Sus scrofa: one gene and its partners. The protein of the gene in region 2 interacts with the protein of the main gene of each other region in a biochemical or structural test. Links are inferred from orthologs where the notes say so. Each region holds a gene or a part of one and is shown on either strand. Other genes may lie near its edges.

Region 1 (3,656 bases), on a different chromosome or scaffold from region 2:
TCTCTAATTTCTTCCTAAGGGCTTACCAAACACACTTTCTGTTTTCTATTATCCCTTATACAAACCAAAAGGCATTTAGCAAACTAATAGAATCTCTCAGTAAAGTCACTTCTAAGGACACAAATTTTTGTTTAGATAACATCAAGAGATTTAGACAGAGCCGTCCCTCTTCCACATACACTCCCACCTCCCCTTAAGCATTGACTCCATCCTCGATCGTGAGGCAACATGAAGTTTTAAGATTTTTTTTTCCTTCATCAATGATTTGCCTGTTGACAAGTTGCTTGATTGGTAGCAATATCAGGAGCTGTTTGGAATGCTTGGTCAGAATAGATAAAAAGGAGGTGATCAGTGAATTGCTGTAACATGTCATAGTGGGCTTCTACAAGCAGATAGGAAGAATTTACTTTATAGACTCCACACATTTATTTCAGAAGGAAAGGAAAAAGATTAGATAAGGAAATACAGCAAAATATTAACACTGTAGTAATAGGGAAGGGAATGCTTATAGCCAACCTACCTTGTGGGGAAGTTTCTGGCATAAAAATCAAACTTTCCCATCATTCTTTGTGCAAGATTAAAAGCTGCTTTACATCAAGAGGGACAGAAAGCCACTTAAATAGTTTTCTTCAAAGGTAGGGAATTTTTTTTTGAAATGAGCATTAGAGAAAGGAGGAAAAGGAGGGAAAGCTCACTCAAAGAGGTCCTCAAACATGCGCTGTCCCATTGCTATGTATGCTTCCTTCTCCTCTGGTGTCATCTGGGCCACCAGCTCTGGCTTCTGGCTCACTTCGCTGTAGGAGAACGGACGGCCAGCCACCATGACAATGGGGTCATCTGCTACTTCCTCAAATTCATCATCCTCCTCATCCTCTTCCCCATGATGTGCAGCCACAGCTGCCGGTCGGGGTGGGGAGTCGTCATCTGACTCACTGGTCTCACTCTCAGAGTCACTACCATTGGCAGTGGTCACAGGAGCAGCCGCCCCCACTGAGCCTGCTACGGCAGAGGGGGTCTTCTTCTCATGAATGAGCAGTGCTCGCATGACTTCCTCATTGTCATCTGGCCCTGCACGGCCTTCCTCACGCTCCTGAAATGAGTCTATATCTATGCCACCTGGAAGGAAAAAACCAGAAAGTCAAAACCTTAACTATAAAAAAGCACTCCTTTATAACTAACACAGTATTTTAATATGTTATATTTAAATATAGGATGATACAAAATAACAAAGACTTCAGTAATTCCATTTTTTGAGCTACTTACTGTCCATATGATAGCCAAAATGTTTCTTACAAACTAGAACTTAAGTAGCATAATGGTTAAGTACAGTTGACCCTTGTACAATGTGGATTTGAACTTTGCAGGCTCCACTTATACATGTTTTTTTTTTTTTCCTAATATAAATACTAGTAGTACACGTTCTGTGGTTGTCTGAACCATGGAGATGCAGGAAACCATGGAAATAAGTTATACTCAGATTAAGCCCTGCATTGTTCAAGGGGCAACTGTACATGGATTTTAAGAGGTATATAGCTTGGATCTGAATCCTAGTTCTTCCACATGCAAGATGTAACTCTCTAGGCAAGTTATTTAGTCTCTAAACCTCGATACCTCTTTCTATAAAATGGGATGATAAAAGCTTCTAGGGCTCTCAATCAGAACAAATGAAATAACGTCTATGAAGGGCCAAGTTTGTAGGTGGCATAATAGGAAATCAAAACATGGCTCTTCATCTTTTTCAGAGTCCTGCATTATCTGGAACTCCTCCTGCCCACCTACTTCTCTCTTATCACTTGCTCATCCTGCCCTAGTCACAGTGGCCTCCACAGTATTCCTTGTACACACCATATGCATTCTGACCTCAGGGCTTTGCACTGCCCGTTTCCTTTTCCTGGGATATTTTCCATCTAGGTATCCATACTCTCTTACAATCTCTCATGACCTTACTCAAATTTCACTTTCTTTTAATTCACCCCTACCCCTATATTCTCAATGCTCTATTTTTCCCTATAGCATTTATTTTCTAACATAGTAATTTATGTCTATTATCTTTGTCACCTACTCTCCACAGATGTAGGTCCACCACAATAGATATTTACCTTTTTTATTCAGTAATATATCCCACGCACCCAGAATAGTCCCTATCGCTTGTTAGGTACTGAATAAATATTTGATGAATGACTGAATAAATGGCAGTTTTATTTTCCTGAGGCAAATTAAGTGTACTTTGATCTCTTTATCTAGGAATCTAGTAAGAAATGAAACTTCTCCCACCACACACCTTCTATTATCTTTTGTGTATATTATGGATGAAATTTAAGAAAAACATAATACAAACATAATGCCATTTAAAATATATAAAAGAATTATCAAAGTTCCCATGTGGTGCAGTGGGTTAAGGATCTGGTGTTACTGTAGCTGTGGCTCAGGCTGCAACTGAAGCACAGGTTCTATCCCTGGCCCAGGAACTTCCACATGCTATGGGTGTGGTGAAAAACAAACAAACATATATTTATTTATTTATATAATATTTTAATATAAGGATAACTTTACATAATTATAATGTTTTAATTATTGACTCCTTGGTTCAAGTCCTAACTCTAACATTTATTGGCCATGTGATTTTGGCCAAGTTACTTCATCTTTTTCTGCTTCCATTTTCTCAAGTACAAAAAAGAGTAAAATAGTATCTATCTCACTGTATTACTGTGGGTATTAAGTGAATATTTGTGAGGGCCTGGAACTTAGTGTTATCTATTATCATTATCAAAAGAAGACTCAGAAATGACCAATTCTGGCCATGGATGAAGTGAAAGCATTTTCTCATTAAAACATCAGAATGAATTAACTGTAACCCTGGAAACTTTAGAAAATATAAAAGCCCTGAGATGAGATATTGGGCAGATAAGAGAGGGAAAAGGAAACAGGAATTGAGAAGTTAAAAGTTTAGGTCAGAGAAAACAGGTTTTTGATAACATCAATGTAAAAGTGATCAAAATCTAACTATTTTAAAACACTGCCAAAAGCTGAACTTCCTCCTTAGAGCTCTTACTGCCAAAGCAGTACTACAAGAGGAAAAAGAACAAGGAATGTATATAAGTCTCTCAGGCTTACATGCTTCTAAAATAATTTTCCAAATAGCTTAACATTACCAACACAGGATTTTGATTAATGTTTAAAGTTAATATAAAATTATGGGAAAAGGAATTTAATTCTGTAAACTGAATGAAGTCATATCTAAAAGATTTCTGACAAGGGTCTAGAGAGGCTTCAGAAAAAAAGGAATTGTTCTGTTATAGATGAAGACAGAAGATGAAAAATAAGGATAAATGAACAAATCTCTAGATGATAAAGTAGAAACATTAGTTCTAGGAACAATCTTATTTCATAGATTTATAAATTACAAAGATATATACTGAGAAACTGTCAAGTTCACTGATGATGCTAAGCAATTCTGGGTGCTTAAAGGCCAAACCGATAGCAAAAAACAAACAAAAACACAGGAAAAGCTGAAGCTTGTGTAAATGGCAGCAATGTGGCAGATCTATTTCAATACTGGCAAGTGTAAGAAAACCTGCCTACAGGGAAAAAAAATCAAAAATATACTGAACAACCTGATCCAAGCTATCAGATAAAGGGCAGAAAAGAGTCTTAAA
Region 2 (3,656 bases):
CACCCACTTTCTTTCCACTTCCACCCCTACCTTACCCCCTGCCAATCACTAATACGTTCTCCATTTTTATAACTTTGTCATTTCAAGAATATTATAAATGGAGTCATATAATATGTAAACTTTTGAAATTTACTTTTTTTTTTTTCCACATTCAGTGTAATTCTCTGGAGATTTATCCAGGTTGTTGTGTATCTCAGAAATTCATTGTACCAGTTTGCCTAACTATTTGCTCATTGAAGGACATCTGCATTGTTTCCAGTTTTACTATAAACATTCATTACAGGTTTTTGTGTAAGCACAAGTCTTTTTTTATCTGGGATAAATGCCCAGGAGTGCAGTTGCTGAGTCATGGTAGTTGCATATATAGCTTAAGAAACTGCCAAACTACTTTTCAGAGGGGCTGTATTCATATTATAGTCTCACCAGCAGTATGTGAGTAACCCATTTTCTCTGCATCCTCTCCAGCATTTGGTGGTGTCACTTTTTTATTTTAAGCATTATGAGGGGTTTGTAGTGATAGCTCATTGTGATTTTAATTTTTTCCTCCTTAATGACTGCTGATGTTGAATATCTTTTCATATGCTTATTTGTCATCTGTGTAGCTTTTTTTTTTTTTTTTTGGTCTTTTTTTAGGGCCACACCTGTAGCATATGGAAGTTTCCAGGCTGGAGGTCTAATTGGAGCTGTAGCTGCTGGCCTAACGCCACAGCCACAGCGACTCGGGGTTGGAGCCGTGTCTCTGACCTACACCACAGCTCACAGCAATGCCAGATCCTTAACCCACTGAGCAGGGCCAAGGGATTGAACCCTGTGGCCTCATGGATGCTAGTGAGATTTGTTTCCACTGAGCCACAATGGGAACTTCTCATCTGTGTAGCTTTTTTTTTTTTTTGGTCTATTTAGGGCCGCACCTTAAAAAAAATTTATACAAATTTGAGAACTCTAGACCTCCTTACAACATTGAATCCTCTAATCCATATGATAGATTTTAGCATTTATTTGGAGCTTTGATTTTGTTTCATCAGAGTTGTACAGCTTTCATTATATGAGTCCTACACATTTTGTTAGACTTTCATTCACCAAAGCATTTCATGGTTTTTCAGTGGTTCTAAATGGTATCCACATGTTTATTGTACAGTTGATTTTTTTGGAATCATTATCTTCCTGTAACATTGTTCACTTAGTTCTAAGAGATTTTAAATAGATTTCTTGGGATTTTCTACATAGATCATTGTATCATGTACACAGCCGTTTTATTTTTTCACTTGAGGTCTATATACCTTTCAATAGGTATGTTCTTAATGAATTATAAAAATATTTTTACAGGACATGTGTAGTCTTCCAGATTTCGTGACGTTTAAGAGTTTCCCTGGAATCCCGCTACAACATATCTTCATTGCAGCAGGAGATGACTTGCTAGATCTCATACAAGGCTTATTCTTATTTAATCCATGTACTCGAATTACAGCCACACAGGTATTTTAACATATCTTTTGATTTCTTAATGTGTTCTAATATTCTTAAAATACTGAAAAGATGGGGTTCTGGTTTTTTTAACTTAATTTTTTATTGAAGTATAGTTGATTTATCTGTTTTGTTTTAAGGAATAACAGATTTCATCTTCTCCCTAAGCTACAGACACTGTTCAAGACTGGTATTAAATTATATAATGTACATGCAGGTGCAGGAGAGTTTACTCTTGCTTAGGAACATATAAATACACTTCTATTTGATAATTTGCTTTCAACTTGAAAGTTTACTTAGGAAAAATATAAGGTTTTTGTATTTGTAAAGATACTGGTATATTTCAGTTAAATTCTTATGTGTTAACTTAAATCTCGTGCCAAAGCCTGTGCCAAAAGTATTTTGTTCAGTTTTTTCCCTATAAAATGCAGTCTAGATGTGCATGCTGGTCATTGTGGCAGTCCAAAAGTGATAATGGGAGTTCCCACCAGGGTGCAGCGGAAAAGACTCCGACTAGGAACCATGAGGTTGCAGGCTCGATCCCTGGCCTTGCTCAGTTAAGGATCTGGCGTTGCCATGAGCTGTGGTTTAGGTCACGGATGCAGCTCGGATCCTGCCTACAGCCTGTGGTGTAAGCTGGCAACTGTAGCTCCGATTTGACCTTTAGCCTGGGAACCTCCATATGCTGAGAGGTGAGGCCCTAAAAAGCAAAAAAGAAGAAAAAAAAAAGAAAGTGATAATGGAAAAGTTTTTTTTTTTTTCTTTGTTTTAAAAGCCACACACACAAAAGAAAAACAAGCACACACAAGTGGATGGAGTTAATAACACTTAAAATTGAGGCAGGGAAATGCAGTGCAAAAATGCAACACAGTACAATGATTTGGCTTCATAAAAGGAGAGACTGAAATGTCTCAGATCTTCATACCTGGCAGAACATGTTAATGCACCATATATCAGGGATACAAAGTGGATTTTTTTTCACTTAAATTTATTACAGACTCATTGTTTAACTCATTTATTTCTATTATTAGCCTTCTCTTCTTAGCAGCATGTGCTACATTGATGCATATATACTATGTATTTTACCATTGGAATTACCCTTCTAATTTCAAACAAGTAACTCATTTTTACTTTTTCACCCAGGCGTATATACATATTATCTCCAGCATAAGAAACTTGAGGCCAGATAAGATTATCTAGAAAGTTATTATCATAAACAATAAAACTCAAAATTTATAGAAAAATGCTAATTGTGATAACTTGTTTGGGTTGTATATTGATAGAATGAATTTATTTTAATGGGTTTTGGCTTGTGGATATTTAAAAGTTGAAATGAGATATTCTTTCTTTCTTAGATCTCTTTGTAGCTCAGAATTAGCTTAATTTACTTAGGAAACTGCTACGATTTGGAATTAATGCTTTTTGTAAGTGCAACTCTTTTTTTTTTTTTTTTTTTTCCCCCCCATTTCTTGGGCTGTTCCCTGTTGACATATGGAGGTTCCCAGGCTAGGGGTCGAATTGGAGCTGTAGCCGCCGGCCTACACCACAGCTCACCACAACGCTGGATCCTTAACCCACTGAGCAAGGCGAGGGATCAAACCCACAACCTCATGGTTCCTAGTCAGATTCGTTAACCACTGAGCCACGACGGGAACTCTGAAACTCTTCTAAAATAAGAAATCTCTAAATTATTCCTGCAGATAATACTATGTTGACTGGTGGAAGGAGGTATTAAAGTTTATATGACTTTTTTTGTTCCTTAGAGAATTATCCAAAAGGAAATGTCCTAAATTAATGTGGCTCTTGAACAGTACTACGATGCAAATAAAGTATGAACTTGACAATTTTGTCATCTAGAATAAAACTTTTTATTGGAATTTTGGACCTGAGTGGAAATATCATATTATAGAATATTGGACTGGTAGTAAATAGAAATAACCTTGGGCAAGTATTTCCAAGAAAATTACTGTCAATTTTAGTGGATTATTGGATTTTAATCCATTGTTTCCAACCTATTGCATCTTTTAAAAAGTTTTATTTCTAAGAATTTAGATGAGATGGTGAGTCCCCTATAGCACAGCGTGTTAAAGATCTGGTGGTGGTGTCACTGCAGAAGCCTGAGTCACTGCTGTGGCACAGGTTTGATCCCTGAAACATCCATATGCCATGGGAGCAGCCAAAAAAAAAAATAC
Region 3 (3,656 bases), on a different chromosome or scaffold from region 2:
GCTGGCACCTGTACCTCCGATTAGATCCCTAGCCTGGGAGCCTCCATATGCCGCAGATGCGGCCCTAAAAAAAAAAAAGGACAAAAGACCAAAATAAATAAATAAATAAATAAAAATAAAAAATATATACATATATATTACTATCCATATATTCAATGCTTTTATGTTTCTCAGAAATTTGGTTTTTCACCCCCATCAATTTTACACATTATTTATTAAATGATTCTGGATACTTAACATTTATTGCTTCTATTATAAATGGGTCTAATTTCCCATTGTTTTCTCACTGGCTACAGTTGGTATATGAACATAGTATTTTCTTTTTATCTTACCAATATCCTTGATTTCATTTCCTGATTATCTATAAAGAGATAAAAATAGATTATAAATAGTCCCTCAAAGTTGCAGTAGTAAAATAAAGATTATAGTCCCATAGAAAAACAGAGGCTCCTACCTTTAACCTCCTTGTTCATTCTATGAATGTCTTATTTTCTTAGCATTAAGGAGTTTTAAAATATTATTTCATAAATATTAATAGTAAATAGAAAAAAATAACTTAAATTTTAGTTAAATAAATCCAGCATCCACCAAGCTGAAAAAAGGAAAAGCTCCAATGCCATGATAAACATGCAAAAGAAGAGTGGTTGGGCGCCTCCAATTACTAACTCTGCAATCAAGTGGGCTTTGTAACCTGACCGAGATGACCTTTGTCCCAGAAAATTAAAATTACCAATGATGGTTCTAGGATTATCCACTATGTCCTAGATTTGAATATGGGGACCAGAAGTAAATCAATGAGCCAATCAAATGAAAATGAATTTGAAAACCATACACAGAAGATCAGATACCCCCAAATCACAGTCTGGAACAGAGAAATTAATACTGTACAAATTAAATTACGTAAGACTGAGAAAATATCATACAAACATAGTTAATCAAAGTGCTTATAAAGGAGGGCAAAATAACCCATACACCTGTGGAAAAGCAGCTACTCATTTAACAAGCCCCAGGGCCAGTAAACGGCTTTTAAAATCAAACATTGCTTCCAACACAAGAGAGATGAAAAAAAATTTTTAACTTGTCTAATAAGAAACAAAGCATCCTGAAGAATAATTCATTGTAAGGAAGATACACTGGAGAAACTAGAGTTTTCTGGTTCTTACAGTTTGTCCTAAAAGCATTTGAAAGGCAAGATAAACTATTTTTTTATTATCTACCACTTTAGAATACATATGCCTTCCCTTAAACATGGGCACCCAAGGTTCTAAGAAATATCTCAAGTTAAGATGGCTCTATTACCAAAAAACCCCTTCTGACTAGGCTAAAACAGCAAGGATACAGCAGAGAGCTTTGGCGAGGGATCCCGCCAGCAGAGTTTCTGTATGTTGACCCTCTATGTCACCTAGAAATAATAAAAAAAAATTAAAAAGGGAATTTTTAGGTACTTTCTTGCACTAAAAATCATTTTTAACCCAAAGCATGCTTCTTCATGAATGAAATCAGATGACATTTTCAAAGTGAGTTTAAAAACATAGGTAAGCGATTTTTAAACATTTTCTCAATTTAAAATACCAGAGTGGTCTGAGGCTTAAGTGGGGGTGGGGGGTGGGGAATTGTTTAATGAGCATAAAGTTTCAGTTTGGGATGTTGAAAAAGTTCTGGAAATGGATAGTGGTGGTGTTTGCACAACAATGTGAATGTACTTAATGCCACTGAACTGTACACTTAAAAATGGTCAAAATGGGAAGTTCTTGTGGCTCAAGGAGTTAAAGATCCAGTGTTATAACTGCAGTAGCTCAGGTCCAAGAACTTCTGCATGCCACAGATGTGGCCAAAAAGAAGAAAAATGGTTAAAATGGTAAATTCTTTATTAGTTGGTATTTGTATACCACAATAAAAAATAAATAATAAAAAGTATCCTGGTGTTATTTGGAAAGGTTCTGGTGTCTCAATGATCTAAGTGATACAGGGAGTCCCATTGTGGTGCAGTGGTTAACGAATCCGACTAGGAACCGTGAGGTTGCAGGTTCGATCCCTGGCCTTGCTCAGTGGGTTGAGGATCTGGAGTTGCTGTGAGCTGTGGTGTAGGTTGCAGACGTGGCTTGGATCCCACGTTGCTGTGGCTCTGGCGTAGGCCGGCGGCTACAGCTCGGATTAGACCCCTAGCCTGGGAACCTCCATATGCCACAGGAGCGGCCTAAGAAAAGGCAAAAAGACCCCCCCAAAAAAAAAAAAATGATCTAAGTGATACAAAAGGTCATGTGCAACTGTAGGCAGTCTGGACAGTGGTGCCGGGCCAGGCCCCCACCGTTTCCCACCACCTCCTTCTCCCCCTTCCTCTCAGGAAAGCGGGACCAGTGAAAACAGGACTGGAGAAACTCCCCTGACTGTGGGGAACAGAGATGAAGTCACAAGTCCTCTGGAGACTTGAGAGAAAAGAAGTCACTCTTATAAAAACCAAAATTCTAAACCTTCAGCTCAAGGTGGGGAGCCCAGACTGACACCCTGTGTAAACAGGGCCTGCAACTGATCCAGGAGCATTGACACCTATGGGGAGCTCAGACCTCTTAGAAGTTGGGACTTTACCACGGTGGGGGCGGCGTCAAAACTGTGATTCTAGAATCGGTGCAGAAATAACACCTGAGATAGAAATACAAATTCTTGGGGTCTCCCTAGACCCAAAGAATCAGAAACTCTGGTGTGGGGCCCAGCACTTTGTTTTAACAAGCCCTCCAGGGGGCTTTTAACACTTTTATCGGGGTATAACCTAACAGACCACAAAATTCATTCTCTTTTCTTTGACCGTACCTGTGGCATGGGAAGTTCCTGGTCCAGGGATCGAACCCACACCAAAACAGTGACCTGAGCCACTGCAATGACAATGTTGGGTCCTTAACCCACTGGGCCACAAGGGTACTCCAAAATTTGCTCTAAGTGCACAAGTCAATGATTTTTAGTAAATTTATAGAGCTTTAAATCATTACCACAATCCAATTTGAGAACATTTTCATCACCTCAAAGACCACCTGGGCCCATTCCCAGTAACTTTCCTGCTCCTCCCCAGCCCCCAGAAATCACTAATCCACTTTCCGTCTCTAGAGTTGCCTTTTTTCTTCAAGGTGACTTGGACACAGGAGACAGTTTGAAACCACTGCCAGTAGAGAACAGGTAACCAGTAAAAGGCTTTAAGCCAGGGTAAAGCAGCTGATTTTGAGGATAATTACTCCAGAGGCAGGGTGGAAAGACTTGAATCAGGAGAGGCAGGAGTCAGTTAAGAAGCTGTTTACAGGAGTTCCCATTGTGACTCAGTGATTAACGAACCTATTATCTATGAGAACGTGGGTTCGATCCCTGGCCTTGTTCAGTGGGTTAAGGATCCTGTGTTGCCGTGAGCTGTGGTGTAGTTCGCAGATGTGGCTTGGATCTGGTGTTGCTGTAGCTGTGGTGTAGGCCCATGGCTACAGCTCTGATTTGATCCCCTAGCCTGGGAACCTCCATATGCCATGGGTGCAGCCCTAAAAAGACAAAAAAAAAAAAAAGAAGCTGTCTACAATGATGGAGAGCAAAGGCTCTCAACCTGGGCAACTGTGCCCCATGGGGGACATTTGGTTGTCACAATGGGGGGTATTATGGCATCTAGTAGCTTGAGGCCAAGG

Evidence for each region.
Region 1: of the proteins of CDK7 (region 2) and GTF2E1, one has a biochemical effect on the other in vitro, tested with the Homo sapiens proteins (3 studies listed by BioGRID, with this or other methods). The link is inferred for Sus scrofa from reciprocal best matches to the Homo sapiens genes CDK7 and GTF2E1.
Region 3: the proteins of CDK7 (region 2) and GTF2H3 form a complex in vitro, tested with the Homo sapiens proteins (2 studies listed by BioGRID). The link is inferred for Sus scrofa from reciprocal best matches to the Homo sapiens genes CDK7 and GTF2H3.

What each region holds. Positions count from the first base shown.
Region 1 is NC_010455.5:139,571,464-139,575,119, forward strand, and holds part of GTF2E1 (general transcription factor IIE subunit 1), read right to left. Parts: intron 1,117-3,656; coding exon 692-1,116; 3' UTR 1-691.
Region 2 is NC_010458.4:47,430,674-47,434,329, forward strand, and holds part of CDK7 (cyclin-dependent kinase 7), read left to right. Parts: intron 1-1,326; coding exon 1,327-1,476; intron 1,477-3,656. UniProt on the Homo sapiens protein: Serine/threonine kinase involved in cell cycle control and in RNA polymerase II-mediated RNA transcription. Cyclin-dependent kinases (CDKs) are activated by the binding to a cyclin and mediate the progression through the cell cycle.
Region 3 is NC_010456.5:29,345,408-29,349,063, forward strand, and holds part of GTF2H3 (general transcription factor IIH subunit 3), read right to left. Parts: intron 1,403-3,656; coding exon 1,340-1,402; intron 485-1,339; coding exon 455-484; intron 362-454; coding exon 333-361; intron 1-332. UniProt on the Homo sapiens protein: Component of the general transcription and DNA repair factor IIH (TFIIH) core complex, which is involved in general and transcription-coupled nucleotide excision repair (NER) of damaged DNA and, when complexed to CAK, in RNA transcription by RNA polymerase II.